3 linked regions of the Drosophila melanogaster genome follow. The protein of the gene in region 3 interacts with the protein of the main gene of each other region in a biochemical or structural test. Each region holds a gene or a part of one and is shown on either strand. Other genes may lie near its edges. The genes, in order: rho-4, rasp and spi.

Region 1 (10,471 bases), on a different chromosome or scaffold from region 3:
AACACCGATTACAATTGGGTACATATCAGCGCATTCATCCTACCTTTTAAAACTAGGCTGTAATAAAAATAAACTACTGAATACATTTCCCTAGAAGGAAGTAAAGAAACTACCATTTGCTTGGTGTCATCGGTTAATGACATAATTATTTAGTATAAACCATACATATATTATATATATTTGTATCTTCGCCTCAAGATTCAACCGAGAACGATGTCGCAACTGATGGAGATGACCCGCCACGTGACCTCTTGGCTTGGCTGGACACCGACGCCCACATGCGACGTCGCGGAGGAGGAGGAGCCGCTGCAGGAATCGTCCGGCATTGTGACCGTACTGGTTCTCTACCTGGGCATGGCCGGCATCTTTGCGGCCCTGAGTCTCTGCACCACGACCAGCGACGACCAGGTGCGGGCCCGGGCCAAGCGGGAACTGATGGCCATGGAGCGCCGCCAGTTGCAGCGTCTGGAGCGGCAGGGCAGGGCAACGGGGTTAACTCTGCTGCCAAACTGGACGACCGCCATGCCATCGCTTATTCGCGAAGTGGCTGCTCCTAGGCCTTCAGTCATTCAACTGGAAGAGCAGCGCTTGCGGATGCGTCTGCTCCAGCTAACGGATCAGAAGGAGCAGGAGGAGCACGATTCCCAGGATTGGCACGATGCTGTGGATGCGCCAGAGGAGGAGCAGGCCACCAGTTGCCTCGCCCCCAAGAGCCAAAATTCCACTTTCTTTGACCTTCCCTTAGACTCCGAATGAATCTCATTCACCCGAGGAACTATTCTAAATCATAGCGTAACACACTCAAACCTGCAGCATGAGTTCACAAATAAACAAGTACCCACATATTATTATGTTTGTTGAGTGATTTTCCTCCTTTTTGATTGCATCACCATCAGCACTTGCAACACAGCCGCGAACGCTGTCGGACCAAAAAGTGGCCATAAATGGGCAGGAATAAATGCCACAGATCGAGACGAGAAACTAGAAATCCAAAACGGGGCTAATCGAAAACAAATCGAAACAAAGTCACATGAAGTTGCACAAAGGCATCCAAAGTTATTGTGAACTAAACGCAACTGATGGTTTTTGCAAAACGTCAATAATCCCCATTGGTAAATACAAAAGGATTTTGCTAAAAAAAAAACATTTGTCACCTATTCCTTTCAGAAGTTCGAAATTCTCAATTGCCATTTCGCCAATAGAAAGTCCCTATATGGATGTTACTGTCTTATCGCTTTGTATTCTCGGTTTTCGATCATAAAAAACATTTGTCATAGGTAAGCTATGCGCACTGACCTTTTAAGTATGGTTAAGGTATTTAGTAAAGTAAATAACTAGGAACTGGGATAACAAAGAAAACCCAGCGAAAAGTCAACGCTCGCACTTAAAAGTTAGATTCACGCAAAAAAAAAGAGGAAAGACATTGGCATATACTATAGACAATTAGATAGGTGCCCATGTATGTACATGCACATAAATATGTATCCTCCTTTCCAGTCGTAAACTAATATTTTACACCTTTAGGTGTTCTTAAAATAAAACAGAACAGGGGGAAAAAACAAAACCAAAAAGTTGGTTATTATCAAAACCAGGCGATAAGCTGCCAGCGGTAACGGAGTCTCGCGGGGATTGGGACTTAGTCATAGTCGTCAAGTGTGTTCGGAACACACGAAAGCCACTTGGTCAGTTTGTAAAAAATATGGTTTTCGGAAAAAGTTAATTGTAAAACCATTGGAACACCTGAAGTTCCAAAACTTTCCTATATTAGCCAACAGACAACTTAAGATTTACTCTTTTGCACAGCTCAATGAATAAAAATATCAACGAAAATGGTCATCTATCTGCTATTTTCCCATATCAGAAAGACTGTTATCTGTGACATATCAAACATGATATTTCAAAAATATCAAAATGATACAGTCCCCTCCGGGTTCAAGTTGAACTTTCCAACGAATAATGTTGGTTGAGATTGGTGATTTTTTTTTTTTTGACAAAATATGTTCTATAGCTTGCTATTATTTTGGTTGTTATATCATGGCTAGATTATTGAATCAACGCTCGGAAAACCCAAGCAGAGTATTTTGGCCACTTGAATGTTTGTAGCGAGGGAATTCAGATAAGATTTCCAGCCAAAAGAGAATAGGAATGTGTCTGGAATGCCGATTTCCAGCGGCATCGAATGTGTTTGGATTGGATTGGCAGCTCATCTTGTATGCTAATCGTATGGTTAGAATACCTATATACATACATATATACGTATCTGTCCAAATCAACCAGGAGAGAGTGCTAACTAAACTGGAATCGAAGCGGCCAAAACTGATGGATTCGTAGATAGAATCCCCTTGTTGCCGGGGTACATTGAACGCGATATGAACGCTACACACTCTATATGGCTATAAACAAATGGTGAATCAAGAGGACGTTGCACGTTGAGGCAATCGCACTGGTAGAATTAAAAAAGACGAAATCCACAAATTGTTAAATTGATAATGGTAACACTCGGGCAAACAGGTGGGCGGTGGGTGTCAGTTGGGGGTTAAGTGACTAACGCCACCAAGAATAAAGCAAGAGCAACAACAACAACAAAGGCAGAACTCAAAGCGAACAAACAATAATTTATAACCGGTTTTTCTTCTTCTTTTTTTGCTGGTCTTTTTCCCCCAACCCTCTGTCACGATAAGAAAACTCAGTCCCCCAACAGTAGGCAACCACCCTCCCCCCCATTTTTTTTTGCAGCACACACGATTTTTCTACTTTAAGAAAACAAACTGCAGCGAAAAAAAGCTTATAAAATGTGATACGGAATTCTGCGAAAGTGCAAAATTGACTGACAGACAAGCGGTGATGGGTTAAATACACCGAAAAGTGTAATTATGCTTGTATGATATAAGTACATATAGCAGTTGATTATTTAGGCACTATAATCGAATTCTTAACCCATTAATGTTAAACGGGAATCAAATCTCACGTATTTATTAATCACCACAAGATACAAGGTTTTTTTTTAATAATGTATACCTTAAGTTTGTTCCACTGGCATGTTTGCAAACAAAAGCATCTGATCGTGTCGGTTTTCGCCCGCCGGCCCATTGAAGGGTTAAAGGTGGGGTTTTCTTGGGAGAGTGCGAAGAGTGAAGAGCGCCGCCATAGCGGATCGATGCTCAGATGATTCATCGAACTCAACTTTCACCGAGGGTGAGAAGAAGACGGCAACAGGGCCGACCACACAAGCACAAGCAACTTCATTCACACGCACGTATGAGTGTGTGTGTGTGAGTGCCGCGAAGTGCCGGCTGTGTGTTTTAATTACAGTCGTTCTTCTGTTTTTCGCGAATTTCCCATGCATTAATATGGTGCAATTTCACAAGATCTCAGCATTAACCTTCTGTTGCCTACCACCAGCCAGTTTAAATGGGATAATTAGTCGTAGCTGGTTCTAACTAATGAATTAACCACTATGTGCTCTCCAAAATGACTTGAAAACTAATAGAAATTTATTATTCCCTTACCTAAATCCTACATTTCCTGTATTCTATCCGATAATAATGTGGCATAACTATTAAATCAACGTTAAATCATCATAGATTTACTTTAAAGATATAGTGCTAAGTTGTAACACCGTGTGAACAGTAATACCTTTATAGGTATAGTTACCATGGCTACTACTTGGTTAGCTGGCTCTACAAACCAGAAAAGATCTAATACTTAGGAGGAGCTGCCACTTGTGCTGGGGAAGGGAATTGCGAGTATTATAAGTCCTACATACCTTGTCAAATATCTCGTGCATTTTGCGCCGATCCTCTGGCTCCTGGCTGTTCGTCTGATTGAGCGGTATTTCCTCCATATCGATGGTGTCCTGTCGCAGCGTTTGCGGACGCGAGGGGGGCGATCGTCGCTCGGCCGGAATCGTGGGATAGAGCCCATTCTCGACGTCCCGCTGCTGCTGCAATTGCAGTTGTTGGGCGGGCGTTTGGCTCTGCTGGCGATTCACTGTTTTCACGGGCATTTTTGCGGCCACTTCTTGTTTCGCTTTTCGATGGAATGCGACTGTTTGAATATCGAATTCGGAGAGCGGAAGTGCCGTTACCGTTAGCCAAAAAGTGAAATTACGGTGCTCATTGGCCGCGGTTTGATTTGATTTGCGATAAGATTAAGAGCGGGCCATAAAGCGCGTAGCACCTAAAAACAGCGGAGCGAACTAAAAAAAAAAATAACAACACCAACCGTCTTCTCGCACCAAAGAAACCAAACTGCGCGACTGTACAGTGTGACCAGCTGCCGGAGCAGCACAAGTGGCTCTCTACCCAGAATTTGTGCATAAAAATAATCAAATCCCGCATGCAACCCAATCTGGCAACGCTGAAAGGGAGTTAAATTTGAAAAAAAAAGTTAATGAATATTATTTATTTGGTCACTTTTAATAAGTCATTTATTTGAAAGTTTTTCTTTTTTGACTAGTTTTTTTTGTTTAATACTTTTATAACAATCAATTTGTGCTTTAATTTAAAATGCCAACTTGTTTTGTTAATTTAATATATTATATAATATATCCTAGGTAAGCCTATTTAAAAAATAAATCACATATATAACTGTTTCTTTAAGGATATCCGGCTCCTTTTTTTTTACTCCTACTATAGTTGTAAAATCAAAGTATATGCCACATAAATAACAATCACTATACTATATTCGAATTAAAATGCTATTTAATTAGTAATTGTATCAAGTGTCAAGACAGTTAATTTGAGAAAATCGTTTCCATTTATTTCCCGACCAAATGGGCAGGGATTTGACTTCAATTAGATTCTTGAAGCAACCCAGGCGGGATCTGAAAAATGTGGATTAAGGATTAAGGGTTATTGGGTAAAACGCAAATGAACGTATGTCAACTGACCTGTGCACGGCCAAAATAGAGGCGGTCTTTGAACCGATCCCTGGAATCTCCTGCAATTGCTTAACGTTTCCATTGTTAAGATGGCCCAGTAAACATTTAGTATTATTGGCCATCCAGGCCTTGGGCGCAGGTTTCACTTTTCGCGTGCGTTTCTTTTGGACTGCACTTTGAAGGCGCGTCCCGTTTTCCACAACAACGGAGGTGGCATGTTCCCGGATTCCCGCCAGCCGCGTGCTGCGCCGCAAATTCATAACCTTGGGAATGGCTCTATAGTTCTGCGAACGCATCCTACCCGCTAGACGTACGGAACGACGAAGGCATGGCTGCTGTGGCGAAGCCACTACTGTCTCCTCCATTAGCTGGATGCCGCTAAGTTCTCGCTGAGAACTGGATGCCCGCAGACTGATTTTTTTTCTTTAAAAAATATATTCTATAGCTTGATATTATTTTGGTTGTTATATCATGGCTAGATTAATGAATCAACGCTCGGGAAACCCAAACAGAGTATTTTGATGTTTGAAGCGAGGGAAATCGGATAAGATTTCCAGCCAAAAGAGAGTAGGAATGTGTATGGAATGCCGATTTCCAGCGCCTTGTGTTTGGATTGGATTGGCAGCTTATCTCGTATGCTAATCGTATGATCATACATACCTATATACATATATATATATGAATCTGCCCAAATCAACCAGAAGAGAGTGCTAACTAAACTAGAATCGAAGCGGCCGAAACTGATGGATTCGTAGATAGAATCCCCCTGTTGAGTGAGTGCGAAGAGTGAAGATCGCCGCCATAGCGGATCGATGCTCAGATGATTCATTGAACTCAACTTTCACCGAGGGTGAGAAGAAGACGGCAACAGGGCAGACCACCACAAGCACAAGCAACTTCATTCACACGCACGTATGATTGTGTAGGTGTGAGTGCCGCGAAGTGCCGGCTGAGTGTTTGTTTTTCGCCAATTTCCCATGCATTAATATGGTGCATGAATTAACCACTATGTGCTCTCCAAAATGACTTGAAAACTACTAGAAATTTATTATTCCCTTACCTAAATCCTACATTTCCTGTATTCTATCCGATAATAATGTGGCATATTCCGTCCGAAATCGTGGGATAGAGCCCATTCTCGACGTCCCGCTGCTGATGCAATTGCCGTTGCTGGGTGGGCGTTTGGCTCTGCTGGCGATTCACTGTTTTCACGGTCATTTTTACGGCCACTTCTTGTTTCGCTTTTCGATGGAATGCGACTGTTTGAATATCGAATTCGGAGAGCGGAAGTGCCGTTACCGTTAGCCAAAAAGTGAAATTACGGTGCTCATTGGCCGCGGTTTGATTTGATTTGCGATAAGATTAAGAGCGGGCCATAAAGCGCGTAGCACCTAAAAACAGCGGAGCGAACTAAAAAAAAAATAACAACACCAACCGTCTTCTCGCACCAAAGAAACCAAACTGCGCGACTGTACAGTGTGACCAGCTGCCGGAGCAGCACAAGTGGCCCTCTACCCAGAATTTGTGAATAAAAATAATCAAATCCCGCATGCAACCCAATCTGGCAACGCTGAAAGGGAGTTAAATTTGAAAAAAAAAGTTAATGAATATTATTTATTTGGTCACTTTTAATAAGTCATTTATTTGAAAGTTTTTCTTTTTTGACTAGTTTTTTTTGTTTAATACTTTTATAACAATCAATTTGTGCTTTAATTTAAAATGCCAACTTGTTTTGTTAATTTAATATATTATATAATATATCCTAGGTAAGCCTATTTAAAAAATAAATCACATATATAACTGTTTCTTTAAGGATATCCGGCTCCTTTTTTTTTACTCCTACTATAGTTGTAAAATCAAAGTATATGCCACATAAATAACAATCACTATACTATATTCGAATTAAAATGCTATTTAATTAGTAATTGTATCAAGTGTCAAGACAGTTAATTTGAGAAAATCGTTTCCATTTATTTCCCGACCAAATGGGCAGGGATTTGACTTCAATTAGATTCTTGAAGCAACCCAGGCGGGATCTGAAAAATGTGGATTAAGGATTAAGGGTTATTGGGTAAAACGCAAATGAACGTATGTCAACTGACCTGTGCAAGGCCAAAATAGAGGCGGTCTTTGAACCGATCCCTGGAATCTCCTGCAATTGCTTAACGTTTCCATTGTTAAGATGGCCCAGTAAACATTTAGTATTATTGGCCATCCAGGCCTTGGGCGCAGGTTTCACTTTTCGCGTGCGTTTCTTTTGGACTGCACTTTGAAGGCGCGTCCCGTTTTCCACAACAACGGAGGTGGCATGTTCCCGGATTCCCGCCAGCCGCGTGCTGCGCCGCAAATTCATAACCTTGGGAATGGCTCTATAGTTCTGCGAACGCATCCTACCCGCTAGACGTACGGAACGACGAAGGCATGGCTGCTGTGGCGAAGCCACTACTGTCTCCTCCATTAGCTGGATGCCGCTAAGTTCTCGCTGAGAACTGGATGCCCGCAGACTGATTTTTTTTCTTTAAAAAATATATTCTATAGCTTGATATTATTTTGGTTGTTATATCATGGCTAGATTAATGAATCAACGCTCGGGAAACCCAAACAGAGTATTTTGATGTTTGAAGCGAGGGAAATCGGATAAGATTTCCAGCCAAAAGAGAGTAGGAATGTGTATGGAATGCCGATTTCCAGCGCCTTGTGTTTGGATTGGATTGGCAGCTTATCTCGTATGCTAATCGTATGATCATACATACCTATATACATATATATATATGAATCTGCCCAAATCAACCAGAAGAGAGTGCTAACTAAACTAGAATCGAAGCGGCCGAAACTGATGGATTCGTAGATAGAATCCCCCTGTTGAGTGAGTGCGAAGAGTGAAGATCGCCGCCATAGCGGATCGATGCTCAGATGATTCATCGAACTCAACTTTCACCGAGGGTGAGAAGAAGACGGCAACAGGGCAGACCACCACAAGCACAAGCAACTTCATTCACACGCACGTATGATTGTGTAGGTGTGAGTGCCGCGAAGTGCCGGCTGAGTGTTTGTTTTTCGCCAATTTCCCATGCATTAATATGGTACATGAATTAACCACTATGTGCTCTCCAAAATGACTTGAAAACTACTAGAAATTTATTATTCCCTTACCTAAATCCTACATTTCCTGTATTCTATCCGATAATAATGTGGCATATTCCGTCCGAAATCGTGGGATAGAGCCCATTCTCGACGTCCCGCTGCTGATGCAATTGCCGTTGTTGGGTGGGCGTTTGGCTCTGCTGGCGATTCACTGTTTTCACGGTCATTTTTACGGCCACTTCTTGTTTCGCTTTTCGATGGAATGCGACTGTTTGAATATCGAATTCGGAGAGCGGAAGTGCCGTTACCGTTAGCCAAAAAGTGAAATTACGGTGCTCATTGGCCGCGGTTTGATTTGATTTGCGATAAGATTAAGAGCGGGCCATAAAGCGCGTAGCACCTAAAAACAGCGGAGCGAACTAAAAAAAAAATAACAACACCAACCGTCTTCTCGCACCAAAGAAACCAAACTGCGCGACTGTACAGTGTGACCAGCTGCCGGAGCAGCACAAGTGGCCCTCTACCCAGAATTTGTGAATAAAAATAATCAAATCCCGCATGCAACCCAATCTGGCAACGCTGAAAGGGAGTTAAATTTGAAAAAAAAAGTTAATGAATATTATTTATTTGGTCACTTTTAATAAGTCATTTATTTGAAAGTTTTTCTTTTTTGACTAGTTTTTTTTGTTTAATACTTTTATAACAATCAATTTGTGCTTTAATTTAAAATGCCAACTTGTTTTGTTAATTTAATATATTATATAATATATCCTAGGTAAGCCTATTTAAAAAATAAATCACATATATAACTGTTTCTTTAAGGATATCCGGCTCCTTTTTTTTTACTCCTACTATAGTTGTAAAATCAAAGTATATGCCACATAAATAACAATCACTATACTATATTCGAATTAAAATGCTATTTAATTAGTAATTGTATCAAGTGTCAAGACAGTTAATTTGAGAAAATCGTTTCCATTTATTTCCCGACCAAATGGGCAGGGATTTGACTTCAATTAGATTCTTGAAGCAACCCAGGCGGGATCTGAAAAATGTGGATTAAGGATTAAGGGTTATTGGGTAAAACGCAAATGAACGTATGTCAACTGACCTGTGCACGGCCAAAATAGAGGCGGTCTTTGAACCGATCCCTGGAATCTCCTGCAATTGCTTAACGTTTCCATTGTTAAGATGGCCCAGTAAACATTTAGTATTATTGGCCATCCAGGCCTTGGGCGCAGGTTTCACTTTTCGCGTGCGTTTCTTTTGGACTGCACTTTGAAGGCGCGTCCCGTTTTCCACAACAACGGAGGTGGCATGTTCCCGGATTCCCGCCAGCCGCGTGCTGCGCCGCAAATTCATAACCTTGGGAATGGCTCTATAGTTCTGCGAACGCATCCTACCCGCTAGACGTACGGAACGACGAAGGCATGGCTGCTGTGGCGAAGCCACTACTGTCTCCTCCATTAGCTGGATGCCGCTAAGTTCTCGCTGAGAACTGGATGCCCGCAGACTGATTTTTTTTCTTTAAAAAATATATTCTATAGCTTGATATTATTTTGGTTGTTATATCATGGCTAGATTAATGAATCAACGCTCGGGAAACCCAAACAGAGTATTTTGATGTTTGAAGCGAGGGAAATCGGATAAGATTTCCAGCCAAAAGAGAGTAGGAATGTGTATGGAATGCCGATTTCCAGCGCCTTGTGTTTGGATTGGATTGGCAGCTTATCTCGTATGCTAATCGTATGATCATACATACCTATATACATATATATATATGAATCTGCCCAAATCAACCAGAAGAGAGTGCTAACTAAACTAGAATCGAAGCGGCCGAAACTGATGGATTCGTAGATAGAATCCCCCTGTTGAGTGAGTGCGAAGAGTGAAGATCGCCGCCATAGCGGATCGATGCTCAGATGATTCATCGAACTCAACTTTCACCGAGGGTGAGAAGAAGACGGCAACAGGGCAGACCACCACAAGCACAAGCAACTTCATTCACACGCACGTATGATTGTGTAGGTGTGAGTGCCGCGAAGTGCCGGCTGAGTGTTTGTTTTTCGCCAATTTCCCATGCATTAATATGGTGCATGAATTAACCACTATGTGCTCTCCAAAATGACTTGAAAACTACTAGAAATTTATTATTCCCTTACCTAAATCCTACATTTCCTGTATTCTATCCGATAATAATGTGGCATATTCCGTCCGAAATCGTGGGATAGAGCCCATTCTCGACGTCCCGCTGCTGATGCAATTGCCGTTGCTGGGTGGGCGTTTGGCTCTGCTGGCGATTCACTGTTTTCACGGTCATTTTTACGGCCACTTCTTGTTTCGCTTTTCGATGGAATGCGACTGTTTGAATATCGAATTCGGAGAGCGGAAGTGCCGTTACCGTTAGCCAAAAAGTGAAATTACGGTGCTCATTGGCCGCGGTTTGATTTGATTTGCGATAAGATTAAGAGCGGGCCATAAAGCGCGTAGCACCTAAAAACAGCG
Region 2 (10,471 bases), on a different chromosome or scaffold from region 3:
ATTCTAAAGCCGTCTTATAATACAAGTTCGTTCATAAGTAGTCAGATTCACGTAAATCTAGACAGACTTTTGGCGAGGTCAAAAAGTTTTGGTCTTGGAGCGACCATCCGACTTGGTCAGGAGCAACTCAGAGCATTGAAAAAAACAATAGCTGCAGAAGCAGAGTGCCACATAGTTGCCCACTCCACTAAGATAGGCGCCACGCATTAGAAAGTCTCCAATCTCCTGTCCGCCGATAAAGTAGACATTGGAGAAGGCGGCCGGAATGAAGAGCTGGGTGGCCAGCATTGCGTACAAGCGCTGAGCACCCACGGCTCCCAGATGACGCTGTGTCCACCGCTGGTACTCCGGCATCGCGGTAAACGTCTTAAACACCTTCTCTGCAGCCAGGCAGAGGAAGTTCAGAATGCTCCAGATAAGCACATAGGTGTAGCATCCATGCCAGACGAACACAAAGGCGAAGGTCAATGCGGTGGCACCGAACTTGGCCGCTGCCGATGATCGCTTGCCGCACAGCTCTGCGTAAATGTTCTGGAAAAGGAATTCGTACAGACCCTCATCGAAGTACTTCCACATGTCCGAGTAGAAGTGGATGCGTCCGATGCAGCGCGGTCTATTGGGCGCTGGGATGCCATCCTGCACAGCAAAAGCTATTCCCAAGCCGTATGTCACCACGTAGTACAGGAAAAAGAACTGGCCCATGAAATAGCCGGCGGAGTGCTGCCAAAACACCGAGTCCATCATCTCCACCATTCGCACATCCCGCGACATGTAGTGTATATAGAAATAGTGGAGGGCGCACTGCATCACCAACCACCATATGGCGCTGCGCAGGACTCCTCCGACGAATCCCAGCCAGTTTTGCACTTCATCCTCCCTCCGGGCTGCGAACCTCTGGTAGCTAATGATCGGCCCATAGGTCAGACAGGGAAAGTACATGGCGTAGCCCAGATACTGGACGAGGCTGTATCTCGTAAGATCCTCCTGCTTAGCTCCAATCTTGGACAGGGAATAACTGCATCCGCGAAGCACACTCCAGGACATTGTGACAATCACCAGGACGTATTCCGTGTAACCAACGCGATCTGTCCACCAGACATTCTTTTGCATCACATTGATGCACAGTATCCAGCCAGCGGACAAAAGCCACACGAGAAATTTTAGTGAGAGCAGGGAAACGATGTAGTAGCTGGCTATCAATGTGACTAGTAGTACCATCGATGACCAGTCCAGGTTTACACTAAGAGCCAAGGCACAGACGCCGATGAATCCCAGACACTGAAGGCGGGGACGTTTCCAGCGTATGAATCCTTGGACAGCCACGTGCAGCAAGTAAAAGGGCCAAAAGCTGACGATAAAGTCTCCAAAGTTCTCCAGCTCATCGTTGCTGTCATCCCGACGCCGCTGGGAAAAAGGATACAAACTCCAGCCCTCCGGAAACTGGAACTTTGCCTCCTTGACTATGTGATCCCGCAGCCCATAGATCTTGTACAGGCCCACAACTATATACGCTATATAGACCCCGAAGTAGACGAAAATTTCGCAGCGGGTGAGCAGGGATCGGTCTGGTAACCTTGACATCACTACACCACCGATTTGGACTCTTCATTCCGGGAAAAGATTGCGATAGGGATGTGAAAAACCAGCGAAAATATCGATATTTTTATACCCTTGCTGGAGAAGAGTACCGGCATTTTAATTACATGCATGTACATATTTCTCTCATGTTATAAATTTGACCCATTTAAAAAGAAGTTTTTGTTAATTTTTGGTTGTATTTAATTAACCAATTACGATGGAGTGAACAATAAAAGAGCAGCAGTTAAAATGGTAATGGTATCTACATATAGAACTAAGTCTACAAAACTACCTCTAGAATAGCATCTCTTGCTGCTCTTCCGGACTCAATTTTGGTTTCATCAGGAGATAGGATATGGTTGATGTACATACACTGATGGGACAACATGAAGTTAAACCCTATGCTTATGGCTTCTTAATGGTAACTTATTGATTCCAGCTGAACGTTTGTAAAACCAGAACTCCGAAGGCTTATTTCTAGTTTAGCATATCGTCTCCGTAATTGGCCTTCAATTCCTTCTTGACCTTTTTATTCTGGCTCGTCGTGCGTCGCTGCAGGTGTCTCCAGAGCGTGCTCTTGGGGATCTCGAAGAGGTTGGCCGCGTGGTTTTGGGACATTCCCTCATTCAGGCAGGCATGCACCGCCTTGGCTAATTTGTCGCGCAGCTCATCCTTGGGCGTATTGTCGCGCTTTCGGCAGGACACGAAGTTGGGCAGGCGTCCCTGGGCGGACAGACGAACCTTGTGTCTGTGCAACGTGGACATGGGGATTTGCAACTCACTGCTGATGCTCTTTAAAGAATGTCCATTCTTCAGTCGCTCGTAGGCCTCTTGCAGGGATGGTCGTTCCCGATTGTTTCGCATGTAGGCGGGATTAGTGCGCACGCGTCTCCAGAGGACTGTCTTGGAGATATCAAACCGGTCGGCGGCCTTTTGTAGGCTTAAGCCCTCGATGATAACCGCGTCGGCCGCCAGATCCAAAGCATCGTTGATATCGTCTTTTACCTCACGTTTCAGAGCTGCGAACTGCTGGATTCGCGTTGGCTTGCAATCGGACAATCGTTTGACAGCCTTCGCACTTATGGGGCGACGGATTCGCGTCTTTCCCCCGCCCAACTTGCGGGGCTTATCGTCTATTTCCTCGTCCACAAGTTGGTCGTGCACGTCGTCATCGTCGTCCATTTCAGTACCAGCTTCTAGTTCCATAAGAGGATCGGCTTGCGCGAACTCCTCGTCGATCATTTGTGATTCGTGCTCCTCAGAATCCTCAGCAAGGTCCGCATCCACGTCATCATCGCCCAGGTCCACTTCAGCGCCACTGGTACCCGTTTCATCTGCCTCAATTTTGGACAAACTCGATGCTGACTGCGTTATGGTGAAAGTGCCCGTGTTCTCGGTGAGTATAAATTGGTTGCCGCTGGAACTTCCGTCCATGTGCTCGATGGAGTAGGTGATCTTCGGCGGCTCGTAGACATCAATGTACTCCAATGACCGACTGGAATGGCTGGGCTGGTGTTGAGAACCCGCGAGTGTAGTGGCTGGGACGGAGACCATCGGATGTGGCTCTTCCTCGTCGTCCAGCAGCTCGGCCTCAGCGATTTGGAGTCCTGTAATGGACTTGGCCGACTCCACGGCTAACGAATGGTTCTCTACATCGACACTGGGTGGACTAGCCGATGGATTGCACTCAAAGCTGATGGCAGATTTGATGCCGAGGAGGTTAATGGCCTCCAGGAACTCGGGGAGCGACGCGGAGGGCAGGCTAGTCTCGCCCATGTAAATGAAGGACAGCATGCACTCCAGCAAATCTCCGCGGATGTCGGGCAGCATTATGGTTGCCTCCTGGCCGCGCGGAACGTCCACCAGGAGGTTGCGCATCAGTTCGCTGCAAGTGCTTAGCACGAATAGATGGGCGCGCACTCGAACGCCGTCCCTGGAGGCCAGCACCACCTCGCAGTGCTGATTATCATTACGCAGCGAGCGCTGGATGTCCATTATCGTGGATGAGTGGCCCATCCACTTAAGATGATTCTGCAAACGGCGACGATTGTAGATTTAAATTTCACTTATCCCGGGGATTTGGGAGGACGCGTTTCACTTACCATCTTGTTGTGTTTTGATTTCCAATTGATTTCCAAGAAGTTTTCAATTCTCGCAATTCCAAACGCAACGCGTTGTCACAGTTTTCAGCCAGGGTAGTCGAATGCACCTAAGATCTCGGTATTTCGGTATGTTTTCCATGAGATGTACTTCAAGGAACGTGTTGGTATTTTTAATGAAATAATAAATGAAGTAGTAGGGTACATTTCTTTTTTTTAAAAATCATTTAACCAAATATTCTAGAAAAGTTTTGTGGTTGGTAATGAAGAATAATTGTAAATGTTTTCCATCTGCTGTACTTCAAGGAACGTGTTGGTATTTTTAATTAAATAATAAATCAAGTAGTAGGGTATATTTATTTTTTATATAAATCATTTAAGCAAATATTCCAAAAAAATGTTGAGGTTTTTAATGAAGAATAATTCGGTGTTAACGTACACGAAATACAATAATGTATGTGCGGTATTTGTGTTGTACCGAAATTGTCAAAATACCGAAGTAGGGCTGTCGAGTAGATTAATTTGGCGCACTGACAACCCTAGGCTCCAACAACTATATTGACATTTTAGCATTACATAAATTGTCAAAAACGGAGCAAATTGTTGAATTTATATTGAACAGTTTGTAGAATGGCGGCCTTAATCAGGAATCTGGGTGCCCGTGCCGCAGTCGCCGCTCTGTCGGCCAAACATGGTTGGTAAATGCCTTGCCTCTAGAGCTTCAACTGATCTATTCTAACCCTTCAACAATCAGTGGTGCCCGCTGCTGGATCCACTGCTCTTCGGATGGCCAGTACAACGCCAGTGGAGCCTAAGAAGGCGGATAAGCGTAGGTAAAAGTCGACTTTATCGCGGTGTCAATTACATGTAAGACATTCCACCCACAGCCACTGTCCGCCAGCCGGACGCAGTCGCTCGCTCGCATCTCTCCGATTTCGGGCGCTATGTGGCCGAGTGCCTGCCCAAGTACGTGCAGAAGGTGCAGCTGACCGCCGGCGATGAGCTGGAGGTGCTTATTGCGCCAGAGGGCGTGGTGCCCGTGCTGCAGTTCCTTAAGGATCATCATCAGGCGCAGTTTACCAACCTGGTTGACATTGCCGGCGTGGATGTGCCCTGTCGCAAGAACCGATTCGAGGTGGTCTACAATTTGCTCTCGCTGCGCTACAATTCGCGCATCCGCGTTAAGACCTACACCGATGAGCTGACTCCTCTGGACTCCGCCTGCGAGGTGCATAAGGCGGCCAACTGGTACGAACGTGAGATCTGGGACATGTACGGCGTGTTCTTTGCCAACCATCCCGACTTGCGCCGCATCCTGACCGATTACGGTTTTGAGGGACATCCCCAGCGCCGCGACTTCCCGCTGTCCGGCTACGTAGAGCTGCGCTACGATGATGAGAAGAAGCGAGTCGTCTGCGAGCCCTTGGAGTTGGCCCAGGAGTTCAGGAAGTTTGACTTGTCGGCGCCTTGGGAACAGTTCCCCAACTTCCGCAACGCTAATCCCCCCGCCGAGGTAGTTCCGCCACAGGCTCCAGCCAAGAAGTAATCCGAAGTCGGTTTGTTAAATGGTAATTAGATCAATAAAACGTGATCACTATGAGATGTTTAAACATAATGGAAACGACGGTCTACTTAGCTATTTAGCTTTCTTGGCTCGTTCCTAAACTACTTCCACATGAAAACGCAATTCGTATCAAACCAGAGGGTCACAAGTATTTATTGATTTCCGTATTGTTTACATACATGGTAGTTTACACTGAGAATTAAACGAATTCGCCGGATCTAGCACATCCGAAAACCTCCTCGAGGGCCATGTGCATATACGTACATACATACATAGATATAAAACGTTAAGTAAAACAAGTGTGGGCCACTAGACAATTCGTGCGCCTGCGCAGCGGTGCCCGGCGAAAGTACAGGTGCAAGGACGTACTTAAGTTTAGGCCGGAGCGGATTGGGGTAGTGGTAGTGATAGTTGTACTTGGTGAAAACCTTATCGTAATTCGAGCTTCGAGCTGCACCGTCGTCAACGTTTTATTTTTGTTAGATTTTAGTTCGGTTTTTTTTTTGTACAAGAACATACACATATAGTACATAGATACACACACATAAACATATTATTACATTTAGCGATTTAAAAAAGTTTTCACCCCGCATTCCGACGGTGTTCCAAAAGATTTTCGTTACTTTACAATGGCAGCGTGCATCTGGGCACGGCTCAAAAAACAATTCTCTGGCGCCACCTGGCGCCCTCTCTCGCAGTCCATGTGCCCGGACTCCGGGCCGGATGCACAGTGGGACTGGGACAACAAATGAAAATTTGGGTGCAGTTCGTGAGCGCGCGTTTTTCGCGCTTCCTGCTGACAAAAAAACAAATTCGACAGACGGCCATGTGTGGACCATGTTCCAGAATGAAGGACGAGCAATGCGTGGCTTCTAGTCTGATGGAGGTCAACCTTTCGGCGGCCGTCCTGTCACAAATACAAATATGCGGGCTTGGTCACGGCAGCTCCAGATTATATCGATTCCGTCTTGGTATAATGACGAGCTGCACCCGCTCCACTGCTGCTACTGCCGGCAGAGGAGACGTACGGCGATGCCTTGCCACTGCTGCTGCTCCCCGATCCCGTCGTGCTGCTGCTCAGCTGATTATCGCCCGCTGCCGCTCCACTGGATGCAGCGGCCGCCTCGTTGTTCAGCCGCTCGTGATACTCCTGGAAACAGGGCACAATGCACAAATTCGTCTGGCACTCCGGGCAATGGTATTTCGTTTTGCGGCGCAAAATGCGTCCATGCCCGTCGATGGTGTTCCAACAGAAGTTGCAGCCCAGCGCCGGACCCGGTCGAATGACCGGACAATGACTAGAACGCGGATTCTCGAGAGTGATGATCTCCCGTTGGGTCTGCAACAAAGGTAAGTCAGTGTGAGTGATCTTTCGGTCGGGTACACATCCAACTCACCTGAGGTGAAGACACCGATCGCTGCAGTTCCTCGTTCTTGACACGCAGCGTGGGCAAATGCTCAAACGAACTGCTCATGGTGGCCTGGCCGGGATGCAGATGGGTGCCAGTGATGGAGCCCGAGGCAGACTTGGAAGTCCGCAGCCTCGAACCGCCTCCGTTGGCGGCCTCTGCTGGATTCTTCCCCGCCCGCTCCACGACTTGCGATCTGCTGATGGAGGGAGAGTGCGGAGACCTTCGCTCGTGTGCCACATCAGATCCAATGGAGAAAGTGGGCGACAACGGATGCCTACTGGCGCTGTTCTGTAGCCCCGCATTGGGTGAGGTAACCACAGACACGGCCGCCGACACTGTCGACGAGGAGCCGGGACTGGCATTAGTGGGCGTTGCCGCCGTTTCACTAGAAACCACTGGACAGGCCACTACGCGCGTGGGCACCAGGTATTGCGAGGAGCCGGCCGGCGGCGGAGACCCCGAGGCGTAGATGGACTCGGGCAGTGAGATGTGGTGCGGATGGTGAAGCGGCGCCGGAGTGACATAGCTGGCATTTGAACCCGACAACGGATGCGAGTATTGGCGGTGCAGCGGGGCAAACGGATTGCTGCCAGTTGCCATCGCGGAACTGGATCCAGAACCGGATCCGGCCATGTGCAGTGCGGACTGGCGAGGCAGCAACGGATCCGAGTGCTGCTTGATGAGATAGGGAGTGCTGGACGGCACGCTGAGCAGGTGCGGCGTGGAGGGGGCCAAACTGGGTGCCGGTTCAGAGGCATGGCGCTCGATCCGCGGTGGAACGGTTAGCAGGTGATGATGGTGGTGCACAGCTGACTGATGGTGCAGATGATGCGAGCCCGTCGTAGAGTAATCTCTGGCCGTGGCACTCGTGGCGCCCGCAGCATTGAATGGATCAAAGTCGAGCGTCGTGGCAGCCGTATCCGGGGATATCTGATTCGTGGACGAGATGCTGTCACTGTCCCGCTTCACCCTCGGCTGACGGGTGAGCACCCGGTTGCGCTTGGTGCCCATCACCGCTGGCGAACTGGGCGTACCATCTGGATCACATTCGACGGATCCGACGCCTCCGATGCTGAAGGAGCGCTCGAAGCTTCCGCTGCCACCGCTGCTGCTGCTCGCAGCCCCCAGCGGAGGATGTGGCGGATGAGGAGCATGCGCCGGACTGGGTTCTGTAAGAAAATAGTGTCAAAGGATTAGTTTTTGAACCGGCCTAAAAAGCGTGGATACGGTTGCCCAAGATTCATTATGAAATATGAATATTGCGAATATGTTGGGTCCATCATTTCCAAATCATTTCAATTGAAACTATTCGCAACCGTGTCCTTCTGAATGGGAAAAGTGAAATGAAGCCAGGGGAGCAGGTGGAGTATGTTGTAGTTTTGAAAGTTTATTCGTTTCTTGCACATCGACTACAGTCTAGAATGTTCGTTCCATCGCGATATTGGATTCGTTTGTGGCGCGCATTACTTGGTATGGTACATGCAACTTATAATACAATCGGTTCTTTATGCACTTACGCTGATTTAAATAATTTATATATATATTTAACACACACATAACTAGCGTAGTTATTGGTACTTTGCAATTGTAGGAAACAGAGTTAGTAATATTTGCTTATTGTTTCGGCTATTTTCGCATTGTTTCATCCGTGTTCTGTTCTGATCTATTCTGTTTGGTTGTTTCGTATTTTTCAGTGGTTCTGTGGTCTGGGATCGGATCGGATCGGGTTGGCTTGGGATCGTAGGGATCCTTCGTGGTATATGATGCGTGTGGGCGAGTGTACAGTAATAAAAGTCCATTATCAAAGTTTACGTTACTCTATGACTTCTAACAAATCACGCTTAGTTCTTAGTATGCCTTGACACAATATAAAAAGTTCTCTATTAGTACAATATTCATATGAATCGTTTAAAAAAACACACTATACGTAATCGTTATTCAAAACCGGAATCGTTCGTATCTCCGCCTTCCGTGTTCGTTTCTGTTTTGGTTTCCTATTTGCCTTTAGCTGCAGTCTCCGTTTAGGATTTTGGGTGGTTACGAGTTATCTTTAAGTTTCGTTTGTTTGCGTATCTGTATCTTGTAGTCCGTCACCGATCTCGTCGCTTCGCTATATGTACATTGCCTATGTACAAATAAGTGCAGAAGTAAACGAGTCCCCCTGGAAAACGCCCCATTCTCAGATATGTTGTCGGATTTGAAAATATATAACCTAGAGTCGATCACCGTAGGACCAGGTGCCAGCGCAGCCATAAAAACAGGAATTGACACCTTGAGTAACTCAGAAGGAAATGAAAAAATGTGTGGATACATTCACAAATATAAATATATATACATATATATTGGTTGGTACATATTTATCATACATATCCGGTTCGCTTACATGCTCCTCCTCCTCCGTCGATCTAGTATCTTAGTCTATTGTACGCGGTCCAGCGATCCTCGGATCTCCCTGCTCTTGACATTCTGCGGCATGGAGTCGGGAGTCGCCAACGATTACCTTATGCTTCGAATAGAGTGGACTTGCGTCACTGTACACAGAAAATGGTCTCACATTGATAGGAAGCTAAATATAATGCTCACGGGGAGTTCCTACATACTGGTATTTGCTATTGTAACACAAGTGCAGAAATTAAATTCTTTTCGAAACGAGGAAGAAAACTTATTTCTGATGCGCCAGAGCCTAGCAAACCGCAGGATGTGGGAAATTTTCGCCAGAAATTGCCAATAAATCTCATTTTGTCCTTAATGTTTATCATTACGATTACAGATAGAATTTTTGGTTTAGTCCATTGCTTGCTTGCATTACAAAAAGTGGAATATGGAGCGGATTCCGCAAGGTTTGTGTCGGCTGCTGGCACACAGCACCACTTTTTAGCTGCAGTTGCTTACAAATCATTTGATGTTCGCGATTAACACTAATAAAATTTTATAATTTATGTACAATTACATTATTCTTTTACACGTAATATAGCTATATAGCTATATATATATATATATATGTATGTATATCGAAGATCTGCACTACCGATTTCTTAGTTAACAATCGTAAAAATGTAGGGTTCAAAACGTTTAGCTCAAGGAATTAGGTTCTATGAAAGTATTATTACAAGTGCGGCCGGCTTGCCTGCTCTCTTAACTCGCTTCGCTCCTCGCCGTTCACTTCCGCCTCACTTCCTTGCGATCCTCCTGCTTCGCTTAGCTCAGCTCAGCTCAGCGCAGGAATCCGATTCCACTTCTGTGCCATCCTGGGTCGGCATATATCGCTGCATATATTGCCACTGTGCCGTACAAGCGGTCCGCTATATATACAGTAGATTGCTGCCGTTTCTCTAATACCTGTATCGATCAATTTGGGGGCTCGGTGTCCGGACCTACGACTTGTCCAAGTACTGCAGGCCCGTGCTGGTCACCGTGGCCACCGGCGGTGCAGCCACCGTTACGAAGTTGTTGATGAGGAAACTGTGCGCCATGCCCATTGGAACGGAGACGGGCATGGCTGATATGCTCAGGGATTCCGCTGGCTCGCTGGCGGCCATTACGGCGGCTGCCTGGAGCAGAGTGGCCGTCCCCGCCTGGCTCGAAATCGTATTCTATATTGAGTTGAAGTTAATACTCTGTAGATTCATGGCGGTGGTCGGATTAACGTTGATGGTGCCGGTGCCTGCGCCCGTTCCCGCACCTGCTCCGCCGCCGGTGGCTTCGATGTAACGCTGCCGCGTCATCGAGTGCACATTGCCGGGCGAATCCATGTATCGAGGATCGAACAGGCTCATCACCCCGATCGCTGGGTGCGAGTTTCCTCCGGCCGGCAAACT
Region 3 (10,471 bases):
CGCGGATGATCGTAAGTGGGAGATATGTACGTGGGATAAGAGCGAAAGTAGACGGATATCCGATTTGCAAAAAGATGTAGTATTAATTTAAAATGTTTAGAATAACAAAAATAAGCTAACAAAACTATAACCATGACAAACTATGACGATAACAATATATTTGCTATGCGTTACGATTTACAAACTTTGAATACTTTTTAAAAGATGCTTATTTAGGATCGATCCATTGTGCAGCGAGATGAGCGGAACGAAAGGCGAAAGGGACGCTGGTTTGCGTCTCCGCTGTACGCCAGACAGACAGACAGACAAGACGCCGCAATATTATAAACAGGAAATGGAATTTACCCACACGGATGCAGCGCGGTGAAGTGTGTGTCTGTGTAAATTGCTGATGAGCCGACAAACGGACGTGGTGCTCAATTGACAGATGAGCACGAGAGAGACAGGCAGAGCATAGCACACCGCCGAATGAGCGAAGGAGAAGGCCAGAGCGCGCTTCAAAGTTGATTGAAATCAATATACGTACATACGTATGTATACACACATAGCGTGCCGGTGTGAGTGTGCTAAGACCGCTCGTGGAATGTTTGAAAAACGCGGTCAAGCGACGGGAAGAGCAAGAATGTTGAACTCTGGAAGTGGGAAGAAGTTTCTGTAAATAGAAGCCAGGTGGAAGGGGCTTTTGCACCTGCCACGCCCAGCAGCCCCTGGAATCAATTAACATGTTGCACAACTGCAGCGGCTCCTATATACATAGTTCATATAATGTACTTGTGATACAGTGACTTACGCACACAGAGGTGCAATTGCAGATGGCGACGAGTGTAGCGTGTAGTTTTTCTCGGAAATGAGCAATGAATGAAATTCGGTTGTTTTCAGTACTCACACGCACACGAACGCAGATGCATACACTCGCAATTTGGAGCAAGAGAGAAAGTCTGCACGACATGCGCTCTGGCGTTTGTGTGTATACAATTTGCTTACTTTTTGCGCTACAATTGGCAAATAAAACAATAGCGCAATTTTACGCAGCACTTTAGCTTACTAACCCACATTGATGGCTCCACAAAGCGAGCAAAATAATTTGTCTGCCTAATTGAAATAAAATAAATAAAACTAAGCAGAAAAAATGTCGGCAAAAAACAAGGCGCAGCTGTATTGTGCGCTAGTGTGTGTAAAAAGGAGACGGCCATAGAAAAAAAAAACACATATACACACAGGAGAATTTACTGCTGCTTGCGGCGCCCACACACACATACACAAAAACACTCGCCTATTTAGTACAGCAACTGCGTAAATTCAATAAAAATAGTCATCTGGAGTAAAAAAACCCAGTTTCCTGTCTTCATTTCCCTTTTTCCGTGAAGGTACACAGTCACTACTGTTATAATTTAGCACACACACTCGCGCATTTATGTATGCATTTGGGTTGCTTTCATTTGGATGTTTATCACTTACTTTACCACTTACTTTGGGATTTAGCTCTTCGTTTGTCGCACTTTTTTGGCCTGTTTTCATGCCATTTTCTTTTTGAAAAACTGAAAGAGTACAATTCGTTGTGTCGCGTCTTAAATGAACAAGTGTTGCCAGACTTTAGCTGGAGGGAGATGACACTATCGCGAGGCAGCATAAAAATCAGTGCTGTAAAGCGAAATTAAAAAAAATATCTGATAACTTTAATATTAGTTTATTTGTTTACTGAATTTTACATTTTCTTATGTACTATAAATAAAAATCAATTCATAAATTTATTTGAGAGGAGTAAAACAAGAAGAATCCACCTAAACATTACAGACTTAAGTTCTAAATATCCCAAACGTTGTTTAATTTCTATTTATATTTGTAACGATTAGTTAGTTATTAGTAATAATGAAAGAACTAGTGATAAAATCCATTTGTAATCACTGCTAGAATTGGCTTGAAAATAGCTAGACTGACGTTAACAATACTGTTACCAGTTGGCATTTCCTGATCCGGCAACTCCACACGACGCCATTTCAAAACAAATGCGCGGCAACGATTTTATTTTACCCCGCAACATTTAGTGAGAAGTCGCAAAATAAGTCAGATTATTTGATTAAAATGGGAGCAAAGGCAACAAAAATGGAAGGTGAATATCTGCCGGATACGCCGACACTAAACAAAATGCGCCTGGCCAGCGAAAAGCGAGAACAAATGGAAATGACGACGCCGAATCGAGAGCAAAACAACGCTTTGCTCGATCCTCGATCACCAAATGGCTGCCGCACGCCTTTAACCGTGAGTTTATAGGCATTAGGTATTTTTTGATATTACTAACCCTAGTAATGATGGCTGCGTTGTAGTTCTTGCAGGCGTCAAAACCTCGCGTTGAGGAGGAGGAGCAGCATGTGACCACCAGTGAAAATGCCTTCTCCATGCTGCGAAAACGTTTGCTCAAGGGCTTCTCCCTGAACGATCCTCGCTCTCCTCAGCTGAATCGCACTCCACTGGTCCTCGATGAGGTTCGTTCGCTTAATATGGATGACACATTCGCCGATCTCTTCGTGGACACCAGGGTGGGTACAGCACAGAGAGCAGTGCCTGCATCACCGCCCCAAGTGGATTTAGAGGAGAGCTGCGATAGCTTCGGCACACCGCCGTCTGCTGCACACAACAATATTTCCCTGGAGATTGTTTCACTGCCCTATGATCAGGAAGAAACCTTGCCTTGCGAGCAACAGCTGCTGCCGTATCAGGAGCCGAATCTGGAGCAGGGCCAGGTGAAAATGGCCACGCCCCCGCCAGAACAGCAGCCCCATGGTGATCCCCGATCGCCCAGCCTGGGCGTCGATCGCACACCCATCATCTTCTGCGACGACGAGGAGGAGGAGGCACGCGAGGCCCAGATGCTGGAGCACATCCTGGAAACACTGACCCTGAATCTCAGCACTGGCAGCAGCATGGCCTCCTTTGTCGCTGGCGAGGAGCAGCTACCAGAAGTGCCGTCGAACAAACATTTGGAGCGAGTGCGTTTGGGTCACAAGCGTCGTGTGCCACCGCGCAAGCCCGCCAGAGCCAACAAGCCAAAGATCTATGTTGACCAAGAGGAGGGGTCCCCGGTGACCGGAGGATCCATTACGCCCAAGACAAACAGTACCCCCCTGTCCGCACAAAAGCGAACTCCACTCAGTTGCGTTAAGAATAAGCCGCATCTGCGATCCCGTTCAATGGAAAAGGATTCTAAGAAGAATCAGATTCCGCCCGCGCAGAGCTTCAACGATCAACTGCGGATAATCTCTGGCACAGAGGGATTCAGCGGACCCGTTTACTAACACAGCTTAGTAGCTACTATTGCCTTATGTCCATCAAAACCCACCAAATCATAGTCTTTTCTCACGACACATACTTTTATTACTCATCTTTTAATAAATCATTTTATTAGTTTGCTTGCCAGTACATTGTGCACATAAATTGATGGATGCAGTTTGCTCATGAGTATTATTCTAACATTTGGAAACCGGGCTATTTATTCCTGAAGTAACCTATTACCGATAATCAGCGACATATAGTTTGTATATCCATTGAATCTATTAAGTCTTAAACGTTGCAAGTTAGTAAAACCGCCACACAAGCTCTATTTCGTTACCAAGAGTATTTACTATTAGGTACGTAACTTCATTCTTGTCTAGTGTATTGCATTAACTACGCTATTTGTGACCGGAATACGTGATATATCAAAAATACATTTGTTCAAAGCATGGTGAGCCGAGAGGTCCAAGCTCTATCGATACTGCAGCTGCAGCCTATCCAGCAGAATGTCGATGGCCTCCTGGTCGAGTTCCTCGTCGTTGGCCAACACCACGTCGAAGCCGTCGGCCAGATCATCCAGATCGCACTCGGAGGGAACATCGTCTATTCCTGCGGTAAAGGTCCATCCCCGTGCAGACCGCGTTTCTGGACGGGATGTTAGACGCAAGGTGATGACTCGTTCCGGCCCGTAAGTCTCCCGGAACCACCTGATGTCGTTCTTGCGCCGCACATCGCTGACCAGAATGTAGGGCGTCTGCTGGCGACTCAGCGCCTCCTCCATGGCCACGCGGCAGAAGTAGCCGTAGTCCTGGGCCCGCACCTCGTCGCTCCACACAATCATGTCGCGCCGGTACTTCTCCTTGTAGGGTCCATCACCGAGGAGAGCGTCCAGGTCCAACTGCAGCTTGCGAGCCCATTCCGACTTAATGGGCTCTGAGATTCGAACGATACACGACCGGGAGCCCAATCTGGAATGGAATTGGATTTTATTTGTCTGAATATTTCTGCAGCAAGCAGTGCAAATTTAACAAATTGGCAAGATTTCTACGACTAGCTATGCACTGCACCCACCTCCGCTGCAGCCTCTCGGATATGTAATCCTTGCCGCACTTTCGCTTGCCGCTGATGAGTACAATTTTCATCATTTTTCTGGCGCAACTTTCACTTTTGCTCGCCAACTTCTTTCACAACCGCTGCTTCTCCTGCTGCTTCTGCTTGTGGCCTCGATTTCCTAAGTTCTACGCTGTGCTCATCAGATACTGGATGTGGTTGTGTTCACCCTGGGCCCTGCCACTTGACTCCGGCACTGCGGCCTGTTGTGTTTATGCTAATGCTCCATTCGAAGTCTGTGCTCCAAGTCGCATTTGTTTACCTTTTGTATTTCGCTGGAACAGCAACCAGCTGGAGCGTATCGTCATCGATAGGCGGCCAATCGAGCGGGCTTTTTGAATTTCATTCAGCTCGAGTGGAAACCGTACCGTCATCGATTGGCCGCCAATCGGGCGGGATTTTTGAATTTCGTTCAGCTTGAGAACCGCAAAGGTATTCATAAAATTGTTATCCTGATTTGTTCGCCACGATAACCACTTCACTACTACATTAAGAATTAAGTTTAGCCCAAGCTTTAAAACCGGAGTAGCATTTATTTTTTGGTTCGGGTTGGCCTAACCCCGTAAAATATCTTTAATAGTGTTCAGTTCAGCTTAACATACACTTGTTCACTTAATTAAAAGCCTGCGTGCCTGCGTTAAAGCGTCTACCCTGGTTACTAGCCCCTCGCTTTCGTCCCCCTATCTGTAGTATTGCGACTGCTGCCAGTTGCCACTCGAGCCACCAGTTGGCGCGTCGGTGGAGCCTCCAATCAGGGCACCTGGGCCAACAGCGGAATGGCTGCCACTCGGATTGGCGGGCTGTGCTGCTGCTGTTGCCCCACCGCCGGGTGGCCCAGAACCCGGATTCCCGGCCGCACTGCCAAAGGAGGCGAGCACGCTGCTGTAGTAGGAGGCATCCGCCACCGACTCGGACTGGTGGGGCGTGCCCTTCTTGAGCGTGTGGTGCAGCGAGGCCTTGCCCTGGTGACATTCCTGCGCATTGGCATTGTTGATCCTGGTCAAATTGGCCAGCGTGAGCGTCGAGTGGCCGCCGTGGATGGCGTTTTGGGCGGCGGCGGCGGATCCTGGTGGCGGTATACTACCAATACTACCGATGTTACCGACACCGCCGGTCAGTGGCAGCCGCGACAGGACGGGACGGGACGCAATGGAGGCGGAAACGGATATGGGGACAGACGACTCGGAGAGCTGCAAGGGGCAAGCGGTTGTTTTTTTATAGACAGGACAGCTTAGTTTAGGAGCCATAGCTACCACTCGCCTTGCGCTGCTTGTGCAACTCCAGGCCCAGACCGACGCCGCCCAGATCCGTCATTTTTGGCTGCTCCGCCATGGCTGACAGCTGCGGCTGTGGCTGCAACGGTGGCGGCTGCGGCGCCACATGTCTGTGATTGATGTGCGCCTGCAGGTCGCGTTGCGAAAGGTATGTTCTACGGCAGCCGGAGCTGCCGTAGCGACTGCCGCCGTGCGTGCACATGAACACGGTGCCCAGGCCACTCTGCTCCACGCGCAACACCTTGTCCGTGCAGCGGGGACAACTCTTGATGGGCTCGGCGCGGGCGCACTTGAGGCAAAATACATGCTTGCAGGGTATCATGCGGCCGTAGACGAGGATCGGCTTGTCGCACTGATCGCAGCAGTGGATCATCGGGTTCAGCACCTTCTCGCCGATCAGGCTCACCTTGTGGTTCCACTTAAGGCGCAGCATCGGCTCCGGCGGTCCGCGCGAAAGCGTGGTGAAAGTGGGCGCCTCCAGTTGCGATATGTCCGCCTCCATGTCGACTGCGCGGGCGAGAGATAGCGAGATAGCTTTGTTCAATGCTTCAAGTTTGGATACCAAGGAATTGGTCAAGCCAAGATGTTAATCAATTTAACTATCTTGGACAACCATTCAATAGGGGAGGAGACTCACTTGTTTGGCTCATCACGGGCGGTGGCACTTGCTGCAGGACCTGTGGCTGTTGCGTCGCTGGAGTCATGTTCCCGCTGGCGGCGACCGCTCCTAGCGCACCGTGCGGCAGGGGCTCCTCCAGAGCGCCGGGCGTTTCCAGTTCGCCGTCCTTGTCGAGCTCCTGCATGACCGAATCTTCGGAGGCGTCCAGTCTTCCCGGACTGTCCTCCAGGGCTGCACAGCTGCTGGCCGCCAGGGCTGCGGCGTCGGCGATGCTGCTGTCGTCGATTTTCTTGCCACGACCGCGTCCTCGGCCACGTCCGCGCCCGCGAGCCCTGGTGCCACGCCCTCGTCCGCGGCCGCGCTTCACTTCCTCGGTGTCCATTGTTCACTTGTACTTGCGTGGGATTTTATGCCGGTTTTTAAGTTTTTCGGTTTTTGTTTAGCTCCGCATTTGCGTTTGGCCAGGGTTGTCAGCTGTTCCCACATACGTGCAGTAACTTAGGGTGACCAGTCTGCGCCTAACAACACTGGCCATCAAAAGGTCCGGCATCACTGGTCAGTTTAAAATACAATATTTTTACTTGTTTAATTTTAATTTTATCTGTTTTTCAATTATTTTTAAACTAATTTGAATTTAATGAATGTAAAAAAAAACATAAAAAAAAACAATAATTATAAGCATCTATTTAACCGTTCTTGTATCATATTAATAGCTTACTAATTTCTTTTGTAGCTTCAACATGAAAAAACAAAAGTATTCTGAATAGAAAATGTGAGATCTACATTAAGATAACCTTAAAAACTTAATAATAATTAATAACAAGGTTTAAAATTAGTTTTTTCGTATATAAATTTGAATTTGTAAAATGTTTTTTTAATTACAATTAAATAGTTTTTATTACAAGTTATATTTTTATACTATGCTTTAAAAAAAATGATTTTTGGTATTTGTTGCCTAAAAATATCGTTTATCCCCTTTCCTTATGCTTTAAATTGCGCTCGAATTTATGCAATAACTGAGTTGAGTAGTTCTTCAGCTAGAAATCGGGGTCATTCACCTTGGGTGCAAGGTAGTATCGAATGTGGCCGTAATCCTCGATGGGATACTCCACCAGGAGTGGCCGCTCGTCGGACAGGTAGAGCTTGACGCGATCTGCCAGCGGAGTGGCCTTGGTGAAGGTGTTGAGGTAGCGACCGGCGAAGGACTGGGTCACGGGCTCCTGCACCTCAATGCTCACGTCCATGGCGGTGCCCGCACTCAGCTGAATGTTGGCCGTGCCCAGATCTCCCTTGGCCAAGAACCTGATGCCCTTCGAGGAGCAGGCGATCGTCAGGGACTCGTCGAACATGCTCATGTCCCGGCAAATGCGCGCGAACTCTGACGACGGCAACTGGATGAAGCAGGTGTAGTCCTTTTTCGGAATCTCCATGTGATCCTGGTCCAGATTGAGGAGCTTCAGCTCGTAGTCCGCCGTGCGCTCCTTGCCATCCGACTCGAAGCTGAGCGTAATCTTCTCCGGTCTGTCAACGGCCTTAATGGTGACCGCATCGTCGCTATTGGCGCACTTAAGCACCTTGCCCAGGGATTTCAGATCCAAGCCCAGCGAGACATTGCGATCGCAGTGAAACTTTTCAAAACAATCCGAAGCCAGACTTAGGGCCACCAGCGAAACGTGGGAGTTGTCCATCGATTGCAGCTGGAATATAGAGTTGTAAAAGCTTTATTTCTTATCTCAACTTTTCATTTTCAGTCCCAAGTCTCAATGGAACTACTTAACAGCTTTTATGGGAATTCGAAACAAAATGACAGATGGAGGGTTATTCTCTTCACCTCCAGACCATTTTCACTGCAGTCCAGCGTTCCCTGGGCGATGATTTCCTTTAGTGCATCGACGATCTTCTTCAGCAGCAAAGTCTGACTCAAACGCGCCTCGAGCATTTTTCCAATTTTCAAAATTGACAATCGCTGTCCCGTTAAATTCACAATTGGAAACAAACAAAATGAAGCCAGTCAGCTGTTTCGCTGCAAGTGTAGAGATGCCGGACTGCTGCGGAGTTAAGAACAAAGCTTGTTAGATTAGTTTCGGTTGCGGATTTAAGTTCATTTGATGTCTGATGATGAAGCTAGTGAACATAGATCTTAGAATTTGACTTAAAGCTGTAGGTTAATCCTTTTCTATTTAAGGGTATCCAATTGAAATCACTTAATCCGACTGATCTGGCAGCATCTGCAACACTGGTTCCGGCTCCAGTTCTAGTTCGAGATCCAGTTCCAGCTCGGATCCAGCCATCCAATCCAATATGTTTACGCTTTATTTATTTATTTGTTTATTTATAACCAACTGCTGAGCTCCCCGATGGCCGCCGCGCAGGTGGAGATGCACGCTGCTCCGGCGGCTCCCCATGTCGATCGAAATCCCAGCAGCGACTGGCGACAGTGGTGTCGCCTGTGCGCCAAGGACGACGTGCAAGGCAACTTGAATGTGTTCCTCAAGAACGAGGATTCCGGCGAGGCAGCCTCCATGGAACTGGCCACCGCCATTGGCAAGTACTTCTGGGTGAATGTGAGTGCGCTCCTCGTGGCTCCTTGGATTTCCACAAGCTAACCAGCTTATCTTGATTTCTCTTGCCCCATCATCAGATAACTCGAGGTGAAGAGCTGCCGGAGACGATATGCAGTGAGTGCCTGTCGCTGGTCACCTCGCTGGTGAATTTCTCGGAACGGATTACCCGCGTGCAGAAGCTTTACTGCATCCTGCAGAGCACGCCCAGCCAGGAGAGGCCAAATCTCCACGAGCTGCGCTCGAAATTTGGTTTGCTGGACGAGGAGACGCAGACTGAGGTGCACTATGTGGACAAGAAGCCGAAGTTGGATGAACAGCTCGAGTTTCTGCCAGAGGAGTCGCCTTACGAGCTGGCAAACCCACTAACGCCAGAGGAAAAGCAGGAAAGCGTAGATCAGGAGCAGGATCAGCCGACGGAGGAGCCAGATGAGCAGGATGCCGACTACGAACCGAATGAAGATCGTGTACTAATGAGCCTCTGCGATGTGTATGGCATTCAGGAGGATAACTCTTCTGCTGGCAGCTTGGATGGCTCCTCGCCGAGTACCGAAAAAGCTGGAGAGGATGCAGCAGACTCTGAGAAAAGACACCAGTGCAACGAGTGCTTGCGAAGCTACGCCACGTCCAAAACCCTGCAGCGCCACCTGCGCCAGGATCATGGCCAGACTGAGCCCACAACCGAGCAGCTGCAATGCCCGGATTGCCCCAAGAAGTTTCGTCTACACTACCAGCTGGAGAGGCACATGAAATGGCACGTGCCCCTGCCCAAGCGCAAGCAGTACGCCTGTAGCAGTTGCGACAAGAAGTTCGCCACCAGTGCATCCGCCCAGCAGCACGAGCAGTACATGCACCTGGATGAGCGGCCGCGGCCGGTGATTTGCGAGCAGTGCGGTGTGGGTGTGCACTCGATGAGCGCGCTCAAGGAGCACGTCCTCAAGCACACGGACTACGCCCCCTTCGAGTGCGAGGTGTGCAAGAAGTGCTTTAAGTCGGCCAATCGTCTGAAACACCACAAGGAGACGCATGATCCGCACAAGTACATCTGCCCCGAATGCGGAATGCAGCTGAATTCGCGGACCACCTTGAATCGCCATCGACTGGTGCACACGGATCAGATGCAGCACAAGTGCGACTACTGCGGCCGGGAGTTTAAGCGCGCCAAGGCGCTGAAGAATCACCTCATCCTGCACACAGGACTGAAGCCTTACTCCTGCGATTTTTGCGACCGCACCTTTGCCAACGGCTCCAACTGCCGCACGCACAAGAAGAAGTCGCATCCCGAGGAGCTGGCTGCTCAAGAAGCGGCGGGCGGCGGCAGGTCGCACAACAGAAATATACCCAAGCTGGAGGCGCTCAAGGCATTGTAGGTTAACCAAAATCGTACATATAATGACAATTTCTAAATGATTCCATTACAATTCCGTTTGTAGCACCAAGAACAAGGACAATCTGTCGCCGGTGGCCACCAAACAGAGTGGCTGCTTCGCCTTCGGCAAAAAACCGAGGCCAGCCACCAAGGATACTCCAGCTTCGAATCCCGCCGTCATCCAAGATGCTCAGCCTGAACCAGCGCCTGATCCCGGAGGGGAGAACGCCACCCAAGCTGATACCCCAGCTGCGGCTATACCCACGTT

What was found.
Region 1: of the proteins of spi (region 3) and rho-4, one has a biochemical effect on the other in vitro, tested with the Drosophila melanogaster proteins (3 studies listed by BioGRID).
Region 2: of the proteins of spi (region 3) and rasp, one has a biochemical effect on the other in vitro, tested with the Drosophila melanogaster proteins (2 studies listed by BioGRID).

The regions. Positions count from the first base shown.
Region 1 is NC_004354.4:11,593,622-11,604,092, reverse strand, and holds the start of rho-4 (rhomboid-4), read right to left. Parts: upstream 4,256-10,471; 5' UTR 4,007-4,255; coding exon 3,767-4,006; intron 851-3,766; exon of another isoform or gene 757-850; coding exon of another isoform or gene 214-756; exon of another isoform or gene 199-213; intron 19-198; exon of another isoform or gene 1-18. Other genes in the region: CG2533 (uncharacterized protein), read left to right, coding at 214-756.
Region 2 is NT_037436.4:3,153,309-3,163,779, reverse strand, and holds the start of rasp (rasp), read right to left. Parts: upstream 1,601-10,471; 5' UTR 1,582-1,600; coding exon 79-1,581; 3' UTR 1-78. Other genes in the region: CG15812 (uncharacterized protein), read right to left, coding at 2,056-3,609, 3,681-3,683; ND-30 (NADH dehydrogenase (ubiquinone) 30 kDa subunit), read left to right, coding at 4,308-4,371, 4,432-4,506, 4,565-5,223; BtbVII (BTB-protein-VII), read right to left, coding at 6,194-6,580, 6,639-7,822. UniProt on the Drosophila melanogaster protein: Required in hedgehog (hh) expressing cells for production of appropriate signaling activity in embryos and in the imaginal precursors of adult tissues.
Region 3 is NT_033779.5:19,575,716-19,586,186, forward strand, and holds the start of spi (spitz), read right to left. Parts: upstream 1,601-10,471; 5' UTR 1,471-1,600; intron 1-1,470. Other genes in the region: msb1l, read left to right, coding at 2,083-2,259, 2,325-3,293; Pmvk (phosphomevalonate kinase), read right to left, coding at 3,743-4,238, 4,342-4,415; hakai, read right to left, coding at 5,061-5,570, 5,641-6,188, 6,292-6,655; PCNA2 (proliferating cell nuclear antigen 2), read right to left, coding at 7,311-7,970, 8,105-8,212; CG10366 (uncharacterized protein), read left to right, coding at 8,631-8,837, 8,915-10,200, 10,268-10,471. UniProt on the Drosophila melanogaster protein: Ligand for the EGF receptor (Gurken). Involved in a number of unrelated developmental choices, for example, dorsal-ventral axis formation, glial migration, sensory organ determination, and muscle development. It is required for photoreceptor determination.